Linked DNA regions of Daphnia pulex. The protein of the gene in region 2 binds, or shares a complex with, the protein of the main gene of each other region. Links are inferred from orthologs where the notes say so. Each region holds a gene or a part of one and is shown on either strand. Other genes may lie near its edges.

The links.
Region 1: the proteins of poly [ADP-ribose] polymerase 1-like (region 2) and histone PARylation factor 1-like are in contact, whole or in part, in a crystal structure (PDB 6M3I), measured with the Homo sapiens proteins. The link is inferred for Daphnia pulex from reciprocal best matches to the Homo sapiens genes PARP1 and HPF1. Residues at the interface, in NP_001609.2 of Homo sapiens: Thr825, His826, Asn827, Ala828, Arg865, Met890, Lys903, Asn906, Tyr907, His909, Ser911, Gln912, Gly913, His934, Lys953, Ser983, Leu984, Leu985, Tyr986, Glu988, Thr1011, Ser1012, Leu1013, Trp1014; in NP_060337.2 of Homo sapiens: Asn234, Val236, Asp261, Arg264, Leu265, Phe268, Gln272, Glu273, Thr276, Phe277, Gln279, Phe280, Asn282, Asp283, Glu284, Cys285, Tyr287, Tyr304, Lys307, Val308, Gln311, Leu315, Leu319.
Region 3: the proteins of poly [ADP-ribose] polymerase 1-like (region 2) and protein timeless homolog are in contact, whole or in part, in a crystal structure (PDB 4XHU), measured with the Homo sapiens proteins. The link is inferred for Daphnia pulex from reciprocal best matches to the Homo sapiens genes PARP1 and TIMELESS. Residues at the interface, in NP_001609.2 of Homo sapiens: Gln846, Lys849, Pro850, Phe851, Leu854, Arg878, Ile879, Ala880, Pro882, Asn928, Lys940, Lys943, Gly944, His946, Tyr992, Asp993, Ile994, Ala995, Gln996; in NP_003911.2 of Homo sapiens: Asp1036, Gln1040, Pro1043, Val1045, Pro1046, Leu1047, Thr1048, Glu1049, Glu1052, Glu1053, Glu1056, Ser1074, Gly1075, Gln1076, Glu1077, Thr1078, Phe1079, Arg1081.

Annotation. Positions count from the first base shown.
Region 1 is NC_060018.1:1,957,385-1,964,422, forward strand, and holds histone PARylation factor 1-like, read right to left. Parts: upstream 4,386-7,038; 5' UTR 4,311-4,385; coding exon 4,122-4,310; intron 4,064-4,121; coding exon 3,790-4,063; intron 3,727-3,789; coding exon 3,584-3,726; intron 3,513-3,583; coding exon 3,364-3,512; intron 3,281-3,363; coding exon 3,042-3,280; intron 2,971-3,041; coding exon 2,717-2,970; intron 2,658-2,716; coding exon 2,607-2,657; 3' UTR 2,592-2,606; exon of another isoform or gene 2,447-2,591; 3' UTR 2,275-2,446; downstream 1-2,274. Other genes in the region: uncharacterized protein LOC124201785, read right to left, coding at 1-70, 125-182, 306-463; proton channel OtopLc-like, read left to right, coding at 6,572-6,691, 6,924-7,008. UniProt on the Homo sapiens protein: Cofactor for serine ADP-ribosylation that confers serine specificity on PARP1 and PARP2 and plays a key role in DNA damage response.
Region 2 is NC_060024.1:8,491,233-8,498,586, reverse strand, and holds the start of poly [ADP-ribose] polymerase 1-like, read right to left. Parts: upstream 4,327-7,354; 5' UTR 4,169-4,326; intron 4,086-4,168; 5' UTR 4,053-4,085; coding exon 3,939-4,052; intron 3,874-3,938; coding exon 3,729-3,873; intron 3,662-3,728; coding exon 3,510-3,661; intron 3,439-3,509; coding exon 3,227-3,438; intron 3,170-3,226; coding exon 2,956-3,169; intron 2,863-2,955; coding exon 2,780-2,862; intron 2,709-2,779; coding exon 2,583-2,708; intron 2,525-2,582; coding exon 2,426-2,524; intron 2,362-2,425; coding exon 2,201-2,361; intron 2,132-2,200; coding exon 1,974-2,131; intron 1,911-1,973; coding exon 1,844-1,910; intron 1,586-1,843; coding exon 1,378-1,585; intron 1,298-1,377; coding exon 1,099-1,297; intron 1,020-1,098; coding exon 687-1,019; intron 626-686; coding exon 497-625; intron 430-496; coding exon 331-429; intron 264-330; coding exon 120-263; intron 35-119; coding exon 22-34; intron 1-21. Other genes in the region: uncharacterized protein CG1161-like, read left to right, coding at 4,617-4,682, 4,765-4,995, 5,059-5,184, 5,247-5,390; U3 small nucleolar RNA-associated protein 18 homolog, read left to right, coding at 5,964-6,430, 6,500-6,695, 6,765-6,950, 7,020-7,217, 7,287-7,354. UniProt on the Homo sapiens protein: Poly-ADP-ribosyltransferase that mediates poly-ADP-ribosylation of proteins and plays a key role in DNA repair.
Region 3 is NC_060024.1:12,850,730-12,857,875, reverse strand, and holds the start of protein timeless homolog, read right to left. Parts: upstream 3,912-7,146; 5' UTR 3,785-3,911; coding exon 3,688-3,784; intron 3,610-3,687; coding exon 3,275-3,609; intron 3,210-3,274; coding exon 3,075-3,209; intron 3,003-3,074; coding exon 2,349-3,002; intron 2,283-2,348; coding exon 1,723-2,282; intron 1,589-1,722; coding exon 1,410-1,588; intron 1,167-1,409; coding exon 1,104-1,166; intron 1,044-1,103; coding exon 971-1,043; intron 891-970; coding exon 680-890; intron 566-679; coding exon 423-565; intron 329-422; coding exon 243-328; intron 1-242. UniProt on the Homo sapiens protein: Plays an important role in the control of DNA replication, maintenance of replication fork stability, maintenance of genome stability throughout normal DNA replication, DNA repair and in the regulation of the circadian clock.

The DNA.
Region 1 (7,038 bases), on a different chromosome or scaffold from region 2:
GAAACTTGTTCCTGGTCCTGAATACAGACAGTGGCTGACCATAATTACTAAAGATGTGTCTGATTCCTTCCTATTAGTAAAGAAAATGGTATAAACAGGACATTTTTTTTTCTTAAAAAGTTACCTCCGTAGTATGAGAATGGATTCCGCTTACAAAGAGCTTGTAGGGTACTGCAGTTTTCCTAATTAACAATACATACATATCTTAAACTAGTATTGGCACAGACAGTCTATTTCTTAAATCATGATTGTGTGAACTCTATCAATTAATTATTTAAAAAGAATTACTTAAATATAACACATACCTCATAGCATAAGGCATATTGGGAGGTAAATGTAACCCTGGTCCTGAAGTATAAAAGTTATCGACAGTATAATCATTCAATCTTGGGTCAAATTCATCCCATTCTCCATTGCTACGATCCACAATCCTTCTTGGAGCTCGCTGAGTTACTCGTCTCATTTTGAAAAATGATTTTGTCTGCAATCCTCGCTTTCAGGTTAATTTTGTCCTACAAATAATTGTAATTTAAGATAATGCTTACGGTGAACTTAAACAGCAAACACATAAAATTTTTAGAAATAAAATAGTAAGAAATTTAGACACATGCAACAGGTTTCTGAAGTCTACAACAATGAACGTCGTCTATTAATAAATTACGTGTCACTGTGTCAGTCAGTGAATGGACAGATTCACCATGCGGACAGCACGCGTTTTGTATAATAATTAATATTATAATTCACCTATAATTCGCTGGTGAAAATGTGTGAATATATGCTGTATTAGATATTAGTACGAGGTGAGGTCCAAATTCTACCAAAGTCAATGAGCAAATAAATGAGATGGATTAGACGGTTAAGACGTCAATTATCCCGTGAAACAGTTAACTGCAACGTCGCAATTTCTACAATGCAATAAAAAATGAACGGAATAAAAAATATTTTCAACTTTTTAAATACGAATTACGAAGGATGAAGCAGCAGCATTAATATGTGAAAAGTTGACATGGAAATTCTTGGGTCGCCATAATTCGTCATCGTCATCGTCATCGTCATCGTCTTTTAGGGACTAAACTGCGGAATGTGTTGTGGAAATCATGAATCGGCCACCAGAGGGAGCCGCTTGACTTCTACTTGGCATTTCGAACAACCACTACAGTTTTTTGTGGTTCGAACATGGTAGTACAAATATCTTTGAATGTCTAGCTCTAGCGTAATGCTAATGCAATTGGTGTAATGCATTAAATACTTAAAACTATATATTGACATTATGACTTATGAGTGCGATGATGTGATCCGTTCAAGATAAAATACGTGGTGCTTAGTTATTATATTTTCATGTCACCTCTGGAAAATTATCTCTTTAATTTGATAGGAGAATACCTTGAATTTATATACGACTATATATTTATATATAACATTATATTGTTACATTTATATATTAAAATATATATAATTATATGCAATATTATATAACCGCATATAATAATATTTAATATCACATGTTTTCATGGACGTGACCGTTCTACGTGCATATACGACTTTATATATTTATATATAACATTATATATTAAAATATATATAATTATATGCAATAATATATAACCGCATATAATCATATTTAATATCACATGCTTTGATGGACTTGACCGTTCTATGTGCTTCCGTATCTTGTGTACCCTCTTATATAAACGTATACACATGTATAAGACCCTATTTTATTTGCAAAATCCTAATTATAATTAGATTCTCAGAGGTTCTGATTGAAGCGTGGTTTTATAACTTGTTAAAGGATGTCTAGTTATCTACGACAATCCGCCGACTATTTTTTCGGAATTAACGTCTATTTTTATTTTTAACGTTAGTTTGATGTTTTCTATGCGTGAATGTTTCAGAATACAGGAACATTTTCTTAATTTTTTTGCATATAAAAATTCGATTTAATTCATTATTGCCTATTTTTAAAATAAAACAAGCATAAAAATCTAGATAAACTTGCACAACTTTAGCCTATGACTATTTGAAATCCAGTGGTGCCCCCTGGTGGCATCCACAGCGGATCCCGCATTTTAGCCCCCTATGGGCAGACGATGACGATGACGATGACGAATTATGGCGACCCGAAATTCTTTCTTTTTTCTTTTTGTAAAAATAGGTAATTAATTAAATTTTTCTATTTCTTTGATTACTTTACAGTAGTTTGCAGTCATCTTGAATTCTTGATTTCGTTTCCCTAGATTTCTTTTTCGATCTAGTTAAATTAACACATTCAAATCGGAGATTAATTTAATTTATTTTTTTGTTTGCAACAGCTTCGAGAATGCTCGCGAGTCTTGTCAAACGAGACAAGGGTTGCTACTTGCTAGACTGAAATAATTCTTCTTAAACCAATCCATACTAACAAATGTTTCAAAACTTGCTGGGGGATCTTCGCTTTAGTTTGCACCTAAAAAGGAAGGCACACAAAATCTTTAATGGTATCCTGATCATGATGGTCTGAGAAGAAATAATATACAAAATTTTAGAAAAATTATATTTATTTCTTCACTCCAGACATTTTATGAAATAATCATTAAATTGAAATCAAATACCGTACAAAAGTGCATCTATTTTACGGCATCGTTCTTGGCCAATCGCCGTCTTTCTTTCATGTGTGCCTTTTTAAATAATTATACAGCTGTTAATAAGACAAGGTAAATAACTGTTATCGGATTACCTGGAGAATAACGGTGAATTCATGGCGTTCCAGCAGTTCGTAAGCAACGCTCAGTAGATGAAGTAATGTTGGATGGAAAACATCTCCTCCATAGGCCAACAAATCTAATCCAAGCTCTAAGCCCATTCCGTAGTCCGATTCATCGTTAGCATACTGCACATAAGTCACCAATTCTTGAAGGGCATCACTGTTCTTATTTTGTTCAGACAAATTTGGGCTTTCAACAATTTTTTTGCAAATTTTTTTTATGTTAGCTGAGGAAGGAGAAAAAAATAAGTTTCGGTATTTAATTCACATGAATTAACATGAAAAGAAGTCTTCTTACCATCTGTCTCTGGTATTTTTCTATAACCAACTTGTGTTTTTTTATCTACAGGAACCACAATGCCACATTCGTAAAACGTCTTAGCAACCATGAGCTTCTTTCTCTTTTTTACAATCTCACTCTGGGGCTCAATTATGATATCATTTTTGTTTGCCCAATCTTCTAATTGCTTTTTCAACGTAGCCAGTTGGCTTTTTTTAAACGGGTCGGCTTTCTTAATCCTCGCAGATATGATCTGACTACATATAAACATGTAATTAATTATATAACCTAGAGTGATGTGTCTGCGCGTTTCAATTTTCTTTTCTCAATACATGCATACCTTAGAGCAGAGAAGAGATTATCGCTCATGGGAGTTAAAACACAGCCTTCTGATTCCGTGTTGGAACCAACAAACATTGGCATTTCATTTGGGACGTCACGGAAATACCCTATATGAAATCCTTTGCTTAGGTCATCAATCATTACACACTGAAATAGGATATTAAAGTTAAAGATCTTATAATCTGGAAATAGGATCATTTTTTTAGTTTAGTTTCTACCTGAAATTCAGGTGGATCATAATAAAATCGCCACTGTGTCAATGAATTGCCGCATTTTTCCTTTGGTTTACTTCTGTTTGAGTTTTGTTCAAGTAGTTGAAATGGACCAACTAATTCTAGTCCAAGAGAATCCTTAAATGTTTCTGAAGATGGCCATTAACTCAGAATTTAAATAATTGTATATTACCTTAATTTATGTAGCTTACCTAAAGTATTTTTTGAACAGATAGATTGGCAAAATGCCCAGAACTCATAAAAATCATCTGGCATGTCAACAAGGAACTTAAGCTTTATATTTTCCTTCACATCTTCAGGTGAAGGTGGCAATTCATCATCAGCTTCCAATTTAGTTTTCTGGGGCTCACTTTCCTGATTTGCCAAGAGATTATTGCTATCGTCAATCCCAGTTTGTTTTTGTTCTACAATTTCAGTTGAGCCTGAAGCAATCACACTTTCATCAGTTGTTTCCCCCTTCTCATCCTATAATTATAAACATGTTTGATTAACTAATACAGTTTCTTTTCTTTGAAATAGTTACTTCTAATTTAGGTTTAACGACGACGTTGTCTCTGTGAGGATGCCGAAATTTCTGTATATGATTCAGATTTTTTTGGTAGCATTTTTCACCATATTTACAGAGAGGTTTCTTCGGTTCGGTGTCGCTGTCTGATGACGCTTCATCACTTTTAATTCTTTTTCTCTTCAGAGCTTCGTGTTTAGAATCCATTCTTCCTGTCGCTGATCAACGAATCCCCAGTTTGTAAAAACAACAACATGCTTTGTTGCCAGTTTTTAATTTATAATTATTGATATTTGAAAGCGCAAATTTTAGTCTTAGCTTAGTATTTGTATTTTACTTTATTCAGCTTTATTCTCCTAGTTATTTTTGTTTTAATTTTGCTCTTTGTAATCTTTCTGGGAGAAAAATGTTTAGTAATTATTTCAGATTTAGTAGTTAATCTAGTGATCGTAGTTTAAACTATAGCTATAGCTATTGACAGCATGCGTACCGCTGTAGGTTGTACACGTCACCATTTGTAAAACAAAATTTTTAACCGAATCTTATGGGGTTAAATCATCGACAGGTTACAAAATCGAATAACTTTGTTCTTGTTGGTTGTAAATAAGTATGGCATAGTACTACCATCACAAGTATCGTATCTACTGTACAAAATTAACGCAAGAGGAATGGTTCCTAGCTCTTTTGGCCTCAACGAATAATTGAAGATTGCCTTATATGGTATCTTGAAGTGATACTGCACTACAGGATCCCAAATTACTTTGTTTCTTTGTCTTTCACAAGACCAGATGTTGAATTTGACGTATAAAATTGCTGATGTATGGCACCCGCTTTGTAATTCCAACCGTCGGCCTCCTTTTCGGTACATTACCGGTACCGTCAATGCGCTGCTATGAATTACTTCTGTCTATTTGGGTTCCATGAAGTAGAAGCTCTGAATTAAGTCAATCAGTTTGATGGCATTTAAATTACGAGCAGACACGAATGGAGGTTGTTTAAAAAGCTGCCAATAAAATTCTAGAAACACCACAAAAATTTGTACGGCGTATACTTTAGGCATGTACAGAACAAAACAGCTCTTTCCCCAATTTCTTGAGAATTGTTGATCACCTTTGCGTAACCAAAGTAAGAAAGAAAAACCGTGGACGCAATTTCAGGTGTTTCAGCTTATCTTGTTCTCCACGCCAATCATGACGGCCGAATCAGAATCAGCCTGACTACCTGAATCATTTTGTGGTTTGCGGTTGATTTAACGAGGAAGGTCTGGGTCAACTTGGCCCGTGAAGTTACTGGAACTAGAGGCCACCTTTACCTTTTTTGGCCGATGACGTTTCGGAGAACAAGACACGCTAACGAGTTTCTTGTGGTTCATCCATTTCCAGGTATTGAGCAAAAAAAAAATATAATTGTGAATTTTAAAATGGGTTAAGAGTGGTGCGATTGGAATGGTTCCGTGTTCTTCGAATATTGGGTTTCACAAAAAAAGAGCCTAATACTGGCTATTCTCTCTCCCAAATTACTCAACACAAAAAAGAACAGTTTTATATTAACAATGTACTATTCTCTAGTATAGTCTTCGACAGTTCTTTTGAACGTCTCCATAAGCAATTCCTTTGGTTTTAAGAATCGGCGATGATTTGTCGCTCCGCAAAACAATTCAAGAAAAGTAGGCTATCGTATAATAGATATTTAGTTCACTGTACAGACTTGATGGTCTATAAAAGAAAATGTGTCATCGTAGTGTCTTTATCCCCCCTCCCCCCAAAAAAAGGCTGTAATAAATTTCTTTGTCAAATCGGCTTAGCTCTTCCCTGCTGACTTACATCTTTGCCAAAAAGTTTATACCCGCAACAAATCAAAAATATTTTTAGTTATCTTTACACGAATTCCTGGAGAGAAAGTACGCAATTCTGTGAGAACTAGACTACCAAGTAGAAAATCAAAATTTGATGGTTAGAATATAATATTTTACGTCATTTAAATCTTTTCTGCGCCGATAAGGACCCCTCATACGCTTTTTATGTTACGCAAGCATGAAAAAAGCCATGAATTGAATTGAGTCCTTTAACGGGAACTATTTTGTCTTTGTCTTGTTTGTTTTTTTATAGCAAAAAGAAATGCAGTGACGGAACTTTCACTCGGTCCTATACTGGTTCGCTGCGATCGGCGTCCATTTTCTGTCACGCTATAAGCAAAAGCCATCATCTGAGATTCTTGCGCGTCATCAGTCACGGACAGCTACAGCTACTTTACTGTTGCAAAACGAGGGAAAAAAATGGGGAAGGACGAACCGACTTGGTAAAAGTGATAAAGGTCTGAAACCACTCAACTGATTCAGATCAGTAGAAGACATCGACTGGATCGTATTTGTGTTTACCGATTTCAATCATCAATCTTCATTTTCAACGAGAGTAGCACAAGGCTTCCAGAGCTGTGAGCCGTAATTTAATGGCAAAAAGGAATTCGCAATGCTCAATCGAGTGCTTCGAAGAACCGCCGATGAGTGCTTCGAGGAAAGCAGTTCGCCATGCTGGGCGTACTATTACGGATGCGAAAGACTGCTGAATTTTGGACCTCAGGGCATTATCGTAAGTTTGAGATTTTCAACATATCCTTGCCGATTGGTTGGCGATGGATTGCAATGCCGATTGCATTTCTCCTGTATCGTAGCATTTTTGACGTCGCAGCTGGTCAGAGCGATATCTGCTCGAGATAGTCCCTCACAGTAGCGTCCGAGATGCCACAAATACTATAAATGTTCGCCATCCATGTTGAGAAACGGAGAAGGGTCAGGAACAGGGAATTTATTTGAATTGACAGGTGGGCGAGGACGGCAGCAAGACTGTGGTGAAGGTACCCCAATCATCATCGACAATCTCGACCATCTTTCAGGTTGACTTTAATGGTGAGTCTCGTCGAACTGCTGAGTTCGCTG
Region 2 (7,354 bases):
GAGTAGCCAAGAAGAAATTACCAGTGACTGGAGCCTATCAAAATTCACCCAAAATAAAGAAAGGATTAATGGTTAATCAAGAAAAAAGTCAAATATATAACAAATAAATGTAATTTTACCTCAGGTGGGGCAATACGCAACCCTTGAGATAGGATACCAGCCATATTGGAAACACGAGATCCGTGCCACAAGAGCTTGCGATTGGGTAATTTGGAGAACGGACGGAATCTTTTCGATTCTCCTTTCCGAACCACCTTGAATACCTGGGAAAGAAAACGAAAAAGTTAACTGCTAGTCCTAGCGTGAAACTACTTAAACTCTTCTACTTACTTCTTCCACTTCGAGAGTATATTGAGTATGAGTTGCTGCGTGAGTATTCTTTGCATACGTTTGAATAACACTAAATTCTTCGGAAGACTTGTCCAAAACCTAGAGATAATTTAAAAAATCAGCAATGATACGTAATACAAAACATGAAAGGGATAAATATTGTTACTTCAATTTCAGTGTTAAGCTTCTCATAGTGGGCATCGATGGGATCCTTATCCTTAACAGCATCGCCGGCTTTCAGCAAGCTGAAGGCCACCTCGATTTCCATCAAGCTCTCAAGCATCTCCAGTTTAGACTAGAAAACAAATCGAGATTATACTACATCATGCTGGAAGGACAATGAGTTAATCCATTACCTTAATGATTTCGTTATCGCTAAGAACAGGCGGAGTTTTTCTTCCAAAGTCGTGCGGAATGAGTGTGTAGAACTGATTCGAGATATCGAGGAATTTAGTCTTCGATACATCTTTCGAATCCAACATTTCCTGAGCCTGACTTAAAATCCCGTACGCCTTTTCTAGCTGTTTCTTGCTCAGTTTACCAAGAGGCATCTTGGTTAGATCTAATTCAAATTCTACCATCGTCCGTTTCATAGCTTCGACATCAAATAACATGCAGACCAATTCTTGAATAGATCGGTGAAGCTTCGATGTCGAATTGGCGATCGTCATACGTGAATCTATTTCTGACTGAAAGTGTGGAAATCACATTTTAAAAAATTGATGTCATTACGTAATTTCAAAAAGACACAAGAAAAATAGAAAATACCTCTCCGTAGTCAATATCTAGAGGGTAGAGTTTTCCGGGCTGCTTCTCAAAATTATCTCGATTTTCCCAAAGGTTACCAGTTTTCTCCTCGTACAGAGCAACAAAATCCTCTATTGCTTCTTGTTTGGTATCCATCTTAGTTAGCTTGGTATCTCCAATCGTTGTACCAACTCGACCCCAAGCACGGAATACATGCCACCTGTCGAATTAAAAAAAAAAAAAAAAAAAAATTATAGTTGTTATCTACAATTGCCACTGGGGGAAGCGAAGCCAATTTACTTGTTTCCTTTGTCGTGTTCAAGAATTTGAAGCTTGTAGTAAGAATTTCTTCCACCTTGAATGTCAACGATCCCAAGTACAACGCTGTACAGACCATTTTTCGTCTTCAGGACATGTGCTTTATCTTCCAAACCAGAATCGGGATCAACTACTCCTCCTCCTTTAAGTTTCAGCTTCAGTTTATCGGACATGCCTGAACCAGATTTTTCTGCAAACGAAAACACAATTTAGTTACGAGATTCAGCTTCGTTTTTAGCGTGAAATAAATCAACAAATATGTTAGTCGCGTATCTGTCTATGAGGGCAGACTTGGATCCCTTCATAGTCATCAGACGACTCAATTAATTTAGGATTGAGTTGTGACCTTGAACTTGATTTACTTGCAAGTTTAAAGCGTATGACTCCCCCATACTTATACTACAGTTTTTACTGGGAAACATTAAAAGTAATAAACAGTCCAACCAACCTGAGCCTTTCGATTTTCCAGAAGATTTCGTGGCACCCGACTCGTCCAAACCAAGACGCTTCTCGATCTAGATTTATTACAGTTTTTAAAAAATCTCAAAAATTAGGGCAATAAAAGAAAAAAAATTTACACTGTGGCAATCCCATGGTGCGATGTTTTTCTTCGTTATAATGGATGAGGCAGATTCGCCAGTGCTTGCTTTGATTGCATCCAAAAAGCTAAGGTCTACAACATGAATACCGAGTTCAGACGCTTTCTTCAACTTTGAATCCTTTTCTTTTAAATTGTCTGTAAAACAGTAATACCACATATAAAGGCTTAATCTCATAAGAGAAACTACCCACTCAAATTTCTAACCTTTCGTAGAAATTACGGCTGCAATTTTTTCGGTAACGCGCGAACCTACAGAACCTAGTAATTTTTTTATTTCAGCTTCGACTTTTTCTTTAGACTTTTCAAGCTTGGAATCAAGAATGAATTTCAAGCCTTCTAGTGTGGGTGGGCGTTTCGAATCGGATCTAAAAGAAAAAGAAAACATTAATAGACAGAACTAGCACGTTATCTAGTTGAGTAAATAGCTACTTTTCTTTTTTCACGTTCACTTCTTCGGTTGGATTCATACGAATAGTGCGAGTTAGCGCTGGGATTACCCTCTGTCCGGGAACATATTTGTACTTTTTCCTATAGAAGAATGAAGTTTAGAAAGTAACTTAATGTATGGCAACAACAGCCTTATTACAAAAATGAGTAATTTTCCGAGAGGTCCGATGGAACTTTGAATGGTTTCCTTTCGGGAGTTGTTGTCGAGTTGGGGCACTTCGTCCAGCCACTCATGTTTCCAGAGCATTGATAACCCATGCCACTCCTGTTGTAGAAGAAGAAGTAAATCTATATAGGTAAGGCTTACCGACTTGAAATTTCTATTATTTTAATCACTTGTAGAAAAACTGTCCACTTTTGCATTCATTGCATGGAAGCAAAGCTCCAAACGCCATTACATCGGCAAGAAGGTCCAACATCTAAAAAGATAAATAGCTGCATATAGTTTAACTATGCGACATATTGATTAACACTCAGAAGAAAATAAAAATATTAATAAAAAGTGCAAGTACTTCAGATGTTCCAGAAGGAATTTGCTGATCGTTGTATTCCAGCAGAATCTGGAGTTCTTGTTTTGTCAGAGTTTCCAACTGGTCTCTGTATTTAAACTGAATTTTATTTTGCTTCTTGATCTCTTCCTTGAGCTGTTCATTTTCTTTTTCTTCTTTCTTTATCTTCTTTGCATCCGAAGGTCCGTCGACAGCATCCCCGTCAACTTTTCGTTTGCTGAAAAAAGAAACCGTTATAATACATGATTTTCCAAATTTCGATTCTTGTCAATACTTAGCGGAAAGAGCAGGGAGTTCTTTTGAGAGAACTTTTTTGTCGTCGGCAGTTAGATCTTTAAATCCAGGGATTGTATCCACTCCGCTAACAAATTCTAATTCTTCTCGTCGCTCTTTAAAACATTTGACGTGGTACCACATATCCAACATTTGTCCATGTCTCATGCCTCCTTTGGTGTCGTATCCTTTCTTTGATATCCTCAATTCATCCTACAATTTGAACATTATAGACATGTTTGAACATGGATCGTTTTAGAACTTGCACTTAATGATTATAATACTTTTGCAATTTTTTCTAAGCAGCCTCGACATGCAGCTCTCCCAGATTTTGCATACTCAATTAGAAAATCAGAAAAGGGTTCAGCAACTTTAGCTGTTTTCCCCTTGCCTTTTCCTTTTTTACTTGGTTCAGCAATCCCACCTTCACTGATTTCTTTGGAAAAAGGAAATAGTTAGAAATCAACTAAATACAATGTATAGCAATATTAGTAATGTTTTACTTTTGAGCATCTGATTAATTTTCTCTTGATCTTCCCAGCGCAATTGATCAAAATGTTCAATGTCACCAGCTGATTTGGGCCGTTGCCTTTCAAAAAAGCAATCAAAGTGGTACCACGAAACCATTTTCCCATCAAATTTGGCAGCCTAAAACAACAATACTGTACTAGTGTACAAAGTCCAGAACCAAACAATAAAAAATAAAATGTTACCTGAAAGATTACAGCAAGTCGTAGAGTGCCTTGAGGAATGTTTTCTTTGCATTTCTTGCAACTAGCTCGACCCGTCTTTGCATATTCTGCTCGAAAAGGTAAATCATCCGCCATCGTTTTCTTCTGAAAATGAACGTCCCACGATTTCTGGGATTTCGGAAAAATCACAAAAAAAAACACAATTAGCATTAGCAGTTCATAATTTTAAATGAGATTGAAATGGGCCATACCTATATATTCCAATTTCCAGTGCACTCAGATAGTTTGAATTCTTGATTCTTTTAACACAATCTTTTCCACTACTTCGAGTACAACGTCCTCCAAACTTCGCAGTTCGCACTTCGCAGCCGACAGAGTTGGGCACGTTTTTAGGTAACAGTAGAATTTCGAGATGGCGCGCTAGGAACAAAACAGTGTTGTCAGATGGGGGCTCCTAAGTGGCGAAAATGGAGAAAAGTTTATTTAGAACTAAAAAGAATAAGTAATTAAATTTCAATTCCACAGTAACGTTTAAATTTTTATTGCTGTAATACATGTTTAACGACCCATTTCCTCTTTGAACAAAAACAATGTTTCTTTTTTTTTTTAAATAGCAAACCAGTTGGCGCCACAAGCTGTGGTCGACAGTCTGTCAGCTGTTTTGTTTCCGACAAATCAGTATCGGATTTTGCTGCAATTATGACACTTCGAAAGAGTTTCTTTCTTTCTTTTTTCGTCCTTTTCATCTTCTCATTCATCAGTGATGTATTGATTTTTATGTTTACTATTAAGAAAACATTGCTTAGAAATTTAATGATTTTGGTTTTGTTTGTTTTTGTCCTAATAGGTGAATGCACAGTATGAGGATGTCAGATGCAAGTGCATTTGTCCAGATACCGCCGTAGTAAACGGAACTCAGTCACATAGAAAACTTTACATTGAAAATGTTCCACCTAACAAATGTGATTGTACAAATGTTGTGCTCCCAAGGGTAGGGGATGATATCAAAGGAAAGGAAAAAGAATTTTGTCCACGATGTGAATGCAAGTACGAAAGCAGGAACACAACAACAATCAAGGCAAAAAAACTGTTGACATAATGTATTGTAGACTATTCTAATATAAATTTTTTTAAATTTCAGGTTGTTGTAATTATTGTTATCTGGATAATATCTCTACTAGTCATATACATGCTGTTTCTTGTTTGTCTTGATCCCCTTCTCAACAAGAAAACCACTACACAATATCAAGAACATAATAATGAAGAGGTATTCTATAAATTTCTCCCTTTTCTTCCTTCAATCATCTTTTTAACTAATTTATCCTACAGGATGAAAGTGAAACCCATTCTCAACCTTTAAGGGCAAGTGGAGCAGGTGTGCTCAACCGTGTTGGCCAAACTACTGATAAGTGGAAGAAAACTGTTCAAGAACAACGTCGACATATTTATGATCGACACACTATTCTTAACTAATCACTTTTCTAAATTCCAATTCTATGATCTGTAGATGTTTGCGCGTTTATTCTTATTCTTATTTCAAATATTTCATTCACCAACGGAAATAAAAAAATTAAAGTCTCATATCGTAGAGTTTAAGATTCTTTTTTCATTGAAAAATATCAGAGGGAATGTAACTTGGTAGGATACATTAGTAGGTTGCTGTAGGCCTACTAATCATGCGCGAAACTAGAATGCAGCCGGACAAGTCATAAAATCAAGATTCAGAAGAAATTTTCGTTGGTGTCTATTTGATAATATACAAAAGTAATAAATCATATTACCTCATTATTTTTATGGTTAATTCGCTAACCAATTACTTCATTAGTCTTCATTAGCCTGCGAGTCCCTGGCGAGTCCAGTCTTGTCCAGTCTAGCCAACTTGGGATTTGCTCCCACTATTTACCTATTTCAGATAAAGTGGATGTGGAGTTTGGAATGACTGTTGCAGACGAATTTAGTTCAAATTGAAAATTACAAGTTTAGAAGCACCCAAGCCATCAAGCACGTGTTTATTAAGGTGCAACAAACGAAGAAATAACACTTAAGATGGGACGCACATTTAAGAAAAAAAGTTCAAAACCGAAACCAGCAAAGAATGACGAGCAACTAAAAGTTGAGTCTACAGAGTTTCAGTTGGATCTTGGAGCCCTGGATGGATATGATTTACCAAATGTTGATGAAAATGAAGATCTTCATGAGGAGCCAAAAAGTAAGAAGTTGAAACAATCCAAACCTCAAGTCTTGGGCATTGACTATAGGGAAAGAGAAGAAAAGAGACTGGAAGAGTTGCTATTTGGGGAATTGTTTAAGAAACTGGAACAAGAACCCCAGTCTAAAAAAGATACGAGCAAAAGTTCTGCTTCAAAAAAAAAATTGAGAAAACAAATCTCCAACAAAGCATCTAGTGAAGCGAAAGATTCCCTTCCAGAAGATGTCTATGGTAAAAATCTAGGTTTAAGTTCAACAGCAGGAAGGCAAGCAGTCTGGGTTGATGAAGATGATGAAGATTTAAAGTAAGATATCACACTATTTATTTAAATAATTGTTTGTCATTTTATATTGATTTATTTGTATTCTAATAGGTGTAAAAATGTACAGTTTCAAAAAGAAAAGGGACTGGTTGGTGAAAAGGCCACTTCAGAAACTGTATACAAACAGGTCCTGGAGAAAAGGTTTGCATCTATTCATGGTCAGGTTACTCCTAAATGGGCTCAACTAGAGAATAAAAAGGGAAAAAAAGACCAGGACAGTGACGATGAAAAAGAGGATCTGACCAAAGTAAAACTTAAATTGTAACTGGAGTTGCATGATCTTCTTAATGATACTATTTTGTCACTTTATATCTAGACCGCCACAGATCTTTTAAGGAAGGATTCTATTTCTTTGCCGCAAGAAATAATTAAATTTTCGCGAATGTTAGATATCAATAAAGAAACTAGAGCAGAAGGACGGGTCATCAGTTCTGTCGAATTCCATAAAAAGCAAAGTGTTGCTCTTGTAGGAGGAAATTCTGGAGTACTTACACTTTTCCAGGTATTTTATATTACACTTGTCATATGCTATGTGAGTTACTTATAAGTAATTATTATTTTTTAAATTTAGGTTGGCGGATCTTTGAATGCTAAAATTCAGTCAATCACCTTCAAGGAATTTCCCATTCACAAGGCTCGCTTCTCGGCGAATGGGGAAGAAGTCATAGCTTCCTCGAGCGTGACAGGCAATATTCAAGTACATAACTTGGTGAATGGAAGGAACACAATCATTCCCCATAACAAGCAAATGGAAAAGGGATCGTACAAAGTAAAAATTTTTAATTTCTAATGTTGCAAGTCAAGTGTCTAAAAGTGTTTATTCGGTTGTATTTTACAGGACTTCGTTCTTTCACCCGACGGGAAGCTAATAGCTTATCAAGGTCAATATGGATATATTCATTTAAT
Region 3 (7,146 bases), about 4.4 Mb from region 2:
CGGGGCGACAAACATTTCCCACGTGAAATAAAAGAAGAAAACTATAAGAGAGAGGGGGGTTGTTCTCTCCATTCTTTTTTAAAATAAAAAAAACCGCCGGCTGAAAAGGCGGGAACGGAAGAGATTTTTGTTTAAGTTTTTCAAGAGTTATTTCCCATTCGGACATCACAAGACGGATTCGATGTCAAAATAACCGGGAAGCACGACAAGAAAAGGAAAAGAAAAAAGCGCTCGTTATTTACCCCCTTCTTGGACGTCTCTGAATTCTTGATGGAGCCGCTGCAATTCATCTTCTTCCTCTTCGCTCCAGCCGAAACGCGAGCTGGGGCTTTGATCAAGAACAGGACAGATTATTTTAATTTTAAATTCGACGAATAATTAAGATGACAAATGAATAATGAGTATTTCGTGTCGCTTCTTACTCTTGGACATTGCCGTAACCAACTTCGATCTCGGCCGCCTCGCGGGCCGTCTTCCAGAACAGCAGTTCCACAAAGATTTTCGGGTTGACTTGTGCCGTTTCCGCAAATTTTCTCATGATGTAAATAGCAAACTTGTACAATTCCTAATTGCACAATAAGAAGAAAAGTTGAAAAAAAAAAGTTATGTAAAGAAACAGGACGAAAGAAAAAATTAAATGTAGTAAATCGGAATAGAATGATAATAAACCGATAATCACTTTGACAGTAGTTTCAGTTTTGGCCCGCGGATCGTCCATGATTTTATGGAATGTCTTGAAAATGGACAGCTGAAAAAGCATAGCAGGCATTTTGCAATCGTAGGCGATCCGGTGGAGAATTTTGATCACGCAGTGGTTCGTCAAAGTTGTGTTGGTGGAGTAACTTCGCAAGAGATGGCAGTAACTTTTGACGACGTTTTTGTGAGCAAATCTATTCCCAGATGGCACAAAGAAATGAATCCGATTATTTTTACATTCAAAAAGAGAAAAAAAAAGGACAATAAATTTTACCTGCGAATAAACTCTTCAAATTGAAGTTCTTTTTCACTCCTTCTGACTGTCGACATCTCCTCTTCTTCTTCCGCTGTAGTAAAAATAATAAAGTTTATTGAATACCAAACAGTACAATAAGTTGAACAAGTACCCGTTTCTTTGTTGTCAGCATCTTCTTCTTCGCTTTCGGCATTGGGCTCCTCCCCTGCAACATCTACTCAGGAAAAGGACGGCAAAATTTTTAAGATGAAGACTTTTATAAAAGGAAATTACTCTTAAATGCAAAACAGCTAATGAAAGAAATGCTCTTTTTAGCTGTAGCTTTGTCATCCATCAAGTTGCTCAACCAGTTCTTTTCCATTTTTTTCTTAAACGCATTAAAGAGTTAAAACGCAAACCACCCATGGTAAACTAGAATAGTCGATGATTGTGAATAATTTGAATTACGATCACTTACGCGGTAATTCGGTATGATAGAGTTCGCGTAAAAGAAGCAGCTCGTCTTCTGGACCCACTTCAGGAGCACCAAAGACTTCCCCTTCCGGCCAAACATCACGACAAGCCCGCAGTAGAGCCACAGCCAGATGGGATTTGGATTCTTTCAGCAGTTTTACGATTTTTCCCATGGCTATAACCCTACATTCCAACAAAAAGAAATGATACAATTGTGAAATTTATACAAAATTGATTTACGTTGATAGTGAAATAAATTGCGTCAACAATTTTCACGTAGTAATTTGTGACTTTGCTACTAGCCAAAATTCGTTTACCTTTGATCATCTATCGGGAGATCGGAGGCGGCGTCAAAGGGAACAACGTCGTCGGTTAAAGAAGGTTTTTCTTGTAAGGCCGAGCTGATCTCCACGGCAATCTCGTCGAAAATTGGCGTGGGCGTTTCTTCCTCCTCCGACTTCTTTTTCTTCGGCTTGCTCTTCTTCCGCTTCTGAGGCACTTTTGACTTGTTCTGGACGACCAGATGACGATTGCCCTTTGCGAACTGTTCAAAGAGTTTCAAGAAGATGTGATTGGTTTCGACCAAATCTTTCAGGTAAGTCAGCGAGTGTTGATTTTCTTTGTAGTTGAGGAGCAAAACGAGGCACATCTCGCGGTATTCTGGCACATAAAAGACGTTGCTTTTAAGGACTCGAGACGAATTGCGGATGGATTCAGAGCCGTATTTATCCATGGCGTTGAGCGTCATCAATAACTCTTGGTAGGCGCACAGAGCGACATTGAGCCGACGGGACCACAGAGCAGCTTTCTTCTTGTCTACCGTAATTGATTCCGAATAAGTTTGAACCTGGTTCTGGATGTAATGGAATAACCCAATCTACCAAGAGAGAAGTTATCATCATTCCTTTTAATGTAATTGAAAACACAATTAATCATTCCTTACCGACATGGTCTCACTGACCAATTCGACCCGAAATTTACCGCAATTGCGGTTAAATTCCATGAAAAACTTTACGGCCCATAAGTAATAAGTTTCATCGTGATCTTGGGTTTTCAAACGAACCAGACAGTCTTTGACGATGTGCATCAGGGAGTTGTAGGCGCCATTCAGCATTTGGAGACAGAATTCTTTCAGCATTAAACGAATGGAGAGGGTCGACTTGCGTGTCACATTGCAGCTGGGCAGAGGCATCCGGTTTTTGGCTTTTCTTTTGCCTGTCTTATTCTGGTGGAAATCGATGGGTTTACCATCAGTCAAAGTTCGGTGAACGATTAGGTCTTTGTCAGTGATCGACTTGACATCTTTCACGCAGAAAGTTCCACGAAATATGGAACTTCTAGAGGCGGTCATCTTTTTGTATCTAGCTTCCCGTTCGCTGCTTTCTTTTTGGACCATGGCTACCAGTTCTTCCGTGTCCTTCTGTTTTTCAGCAACCGAACGTTGGGCAGCTGTTTGAGCAAGAGAAGCGGGATTCTGCTCACGTAGCATGAGAGAAATGATTTCCATAACATGCATGCAAAAGTGACGCTCATTTTCATTAGACGCGAGATAAATGATAACATCTTCCATTCCAGAGAGATGCATGGACCATAGCACCTGAATATTTAATTTAGTAATGAATGAAAACTGTGAATGAACGGTCAATCGTTAATCAAGTCTGTATCATACCTGATCGTGTACGCTCGCGTCATCATCTGTTCTTTTTTCGTCTTCAGGTGTAACAGGGATATCTAGGATGTTTCTTATCAAAATGAGAATTCTTTCTGTTAACAGCTTGTCATCTTCCATTCGATCTTCTGGCTCCTGAAAGAGTGGAATAATTTTAGCTGGATAATTTATTTGTAAGTCTGAGTAAATTAAAAACTAACTTTGACTAAAAGCAGCTTGAGTTTATCAGTTAAAACCATCCAAAATTTATCAGATGCTAGAACTGGTTTGTAACTCTGTAAATGGCCAACATGTTGCAGGTAATAGTTTCTCTCAACTTTATCAGTTGGCATCTCTTCGTTGAATAACAACAGGGTTGGATTTGTTAGATTCACGAGAAGACGAAGTGCAACATCAAACAAGGCTTCATCACTGTGATATTCACAAAGAATAGGTATCAGATTAGTCTGAACAAGTTTCATCTGTCCAAGTTCTCTTCTGATTCCGATGGTATCGTCATCTCTTCGAAGATAGCGAATCAAATCCTTCAAGGCCTCTACAAAAGAATCAAATGCAATGTTTGAAATTACAACATTTGGTGCAGGAGATGGTCTCAATTAAATCCCATTATTACCAAGGCAATATTGATCTTTGAAATATTTATTTCCTTCTGTATAACCCAAACTGGTAACTGCAGCAGTTAATTCTGCTTTCATGAAAGGTGTTACCATTTTATAAAACAAAACAATTATTTTACAAACAATGAAAATTAAGACCGAAACTTGTGTTCATGTAGCGACATAACCGCCAAAACTAAACTGAAAAATCGTCTGCTGAGTAATCACGTTGCCATGTAAATGGCATGTAAACTAAACACTGCCCATGAATTAATTTTCATAAATAAAGTAGACGTTATATTGATTTAAAAATTATTCAGTGTATTATCAATACTTATAACGAATTGAGTTCCAAAAGATTTTTTGGTAAAATTGAGTGGAACAATTTTTAATGTTTAAAATAAATAGACAACGTTAGGATGCTGAGTTGCCAGGTCTGGAAAAGGTCGAAAATCTCGATTAGGGACAACATGCCTGAAATTAACACAGCCCTCTTATGGATCGACTCAAGAGCGGATAACCCCTTATGGGAAAATGAACATGGTGAGTGGGAACCATCTCCTCCATGTGTCCATGGTTTGGTGAGTACACTTGGTGAACCGCGCCAAAGATGGCAGCAAAATTGTGAACGACCATTTTTCCCGATGCCAGATGGCGTACAAAAAATCACGTCGTCCCCCCCAACTGTCATTTTTCGTTCATATTAGAATCTGCCACACATTTCCCAAGGCATTCAAAACCGCTCGCTCAAATCAAAACCCAACTGGAACAATCACACGAAGCAATATGGAAACAAGTAGAGCGGAAAGTATGGCAACATCTGGGTCCTTTACTTCAAAGGATTATCGCCAGTTTAAAAACGAAACAACCAAAAAATATATATCTCTAAGTGGTTTGATTTGATTCCTTTCTCACGGCGTTTAGCTGCGCGCCAGCGCCCACTCTTTTCGAAATGAGAAAAAGACGGGAAAAAAATAAAAAGCTAGAATAAAGAGAGAGAATAACCGGTCGATGTGTTGTAGACGTATATATGTTTGTGTGTCTGCGTGTTTTCATCTATTATTTGAAATCCTCGGTTCAATAATCAATGCAGAATCCCATCAAGTTTCATTTCTCTCTTTTTTTGCCCCCTTCTTTCCATCTTCCCCATTTCGCCGCCTTCATTATTGATTCGCTAAATGTTTGATGACATGGCGCGCACACATGGCCAGTGGCTATATACAGTATCTCCTCTAGTTCTCTCTCTCTCTGACACCCCGTTGGTCCATCTCGACGTCCACGCGCTGTCGGCCATCCATGATCAATTGAAATAACCTGTAAACTACTGCTGGCAACTCTCTCTCTCACGGTGCCGTCTGCTGCTGCTGCTGCTGAGCGTCCACCAGCAACGCTTCACCGTGATTCACTTGCAGCTCATCACTTGGTGAACGACGGAGGGTGGGTGGAAAAATCCAATTGGCCTGTAATAGCCCAGGGGAGGGACGCTTGGCGCGTATGTATATACTTTTAATTTCATTTGCACGCTGTTGGATGTCAGCGCGAGCGCGGGTACCGCGTCCATCATCTAAATTGGATGCTGCGCAATTGGCTCCGCTCTTGCTTTCCATATCTACCACCCGTTTTGAATTTCATCATGTTCAATCCATTTTTTTTTTCAGAGAAAAAAGAAAAGAAATTTGCCACTCCCGGAGTTAATGGGTCGGTGTAACAAAGAGGGGAGAAGATTTGGCGCTGTAGGGGTGTCGTGATAGACGACAGTAATGGCTAACCCCCTCCGGCTAATAAAATCGGCTAATAAATTTTCAACAAATGCGCATAGTCAAGGGGGCTAGAGAAAATGCGATGGCGCGCCAAAGATTTGTGAATTCCCGCGGGAATTGAAAAAAAAAAGTGCCATTCTTCTTCAAGCCCGGCGCTTCCTGCTTGAAAAAAAGACATCGTAACGCAATCCGATATTTATTAGCGCCAACTCCTTTCGATATGCCATCCGAAACTTTGGGATCCCTCAGCTATGTAGTCTTACCCCCGATGGAAAAGTTTCCCGTTGAAATAATAAACGGGAAAAAAAAATAAAAAATAAAATAATCAGCCCCCGTCTGTCTGACTCTGGGTAACGGTTGACTCGCGCGTGTTTGAAAAATAAAAAGGTGAGAGACTATAGGACGACGTCTTAGGCTTATTGTTTGTGATAGAGATCGACAAGAGAGTCAAACACAAACAACAAGAGGATCTACAACGGCTGCTGGAGAGCTATACACTATAACATCCATAACAGATATCGCATCGTCTTTCCTTTGTTGGAACCAGTTTTCCTATTCGTTTGTTCCTCCGATTGTATCGATCGAAACGGTAGGCCTCACCCCCCTTGCCGACCGCTGGATTTATTTTCAGATCTGCTTTTAAAACAAAAATTCATATTGGTCGAAATGAAATTCACGGTTATTGGCGACCGAAGAAGAAGATGATGGAAGGCCGGAGGAATCCGCGAGAAAAATGGGAGAATCGAATCGAATCAAGAGAGAGATGGGAAAGAGACGTCTACCGCGACAGGGCAGCACTCGCGGTATATACATAGTGGCAGTTCGTCGTTTCATCTGGTCTCAAATTGCTTGGGAAAAGACAAGAAAATAAAAAGAAGGCGGAATTCGACTCACGAAAAAAAAGAAGGAAAGGGGGAGAAGAGTAGCTACTCTGCCATCTCCGCCGTCCTTGTGATCGAGTTCATTCGCCTAAACTCATCACGTCCCTTTTGTCTGCCGCTGGCGCTCCTTTTGACATACACGATTACACGAGGGAGAAAAATCATATAAGTCTTCCAAGCCTATAAGAATAAAAAAGCAAAAAAAAAAAAAAAAATGAAAAAGAGGAAAAATGAAGTACAGAAAAAAAGATGAAGAGAGTCCATCTTACATTGCCTCATTTCCGTCCTGATCCTTGACGTCGCAGACAAGCGTGAAATTGAATTATATACACGTTTTTCTCTCCCTCCGAGGAGCGAAACATCTTTTTTTTTCGTACGTCAACTGTTTCGCCCCACCGATGGAAGAAAAAAAAACAACAACAATCAGCCCAGATTTGGATTCCCGAAAATTCACGTTAGACTAGACTGCGGACAGCTACGACATACAACAAAAAGGGAAATAATACGCGGGCTATTTAAATCTAAATCCGTCTATAATCTCTACTTGTTTGTTTTTTATTGGTGTTGGGTCACCAGGAACGCCACTGACGCAAAGCCCTTTTATGTGGAAGAAGAAGAAGTTGTTGGGGTTGAACCGTTTGATAAAGACGACGAACGCAATGTACAACAAACAGCAGGGGGGCTTCCGTACACTCTCTGCCGTATATACTGGCGGCAAGAGAGAGATTACGGTTTGGACCGTGCAAGTGCGCACGGAACTCGGGCTGGATAGACGGAAGTAGCAGCAGCAGGAGAGCCTTAGATATATATATGTACCTCAGTCTCACTGATGTTT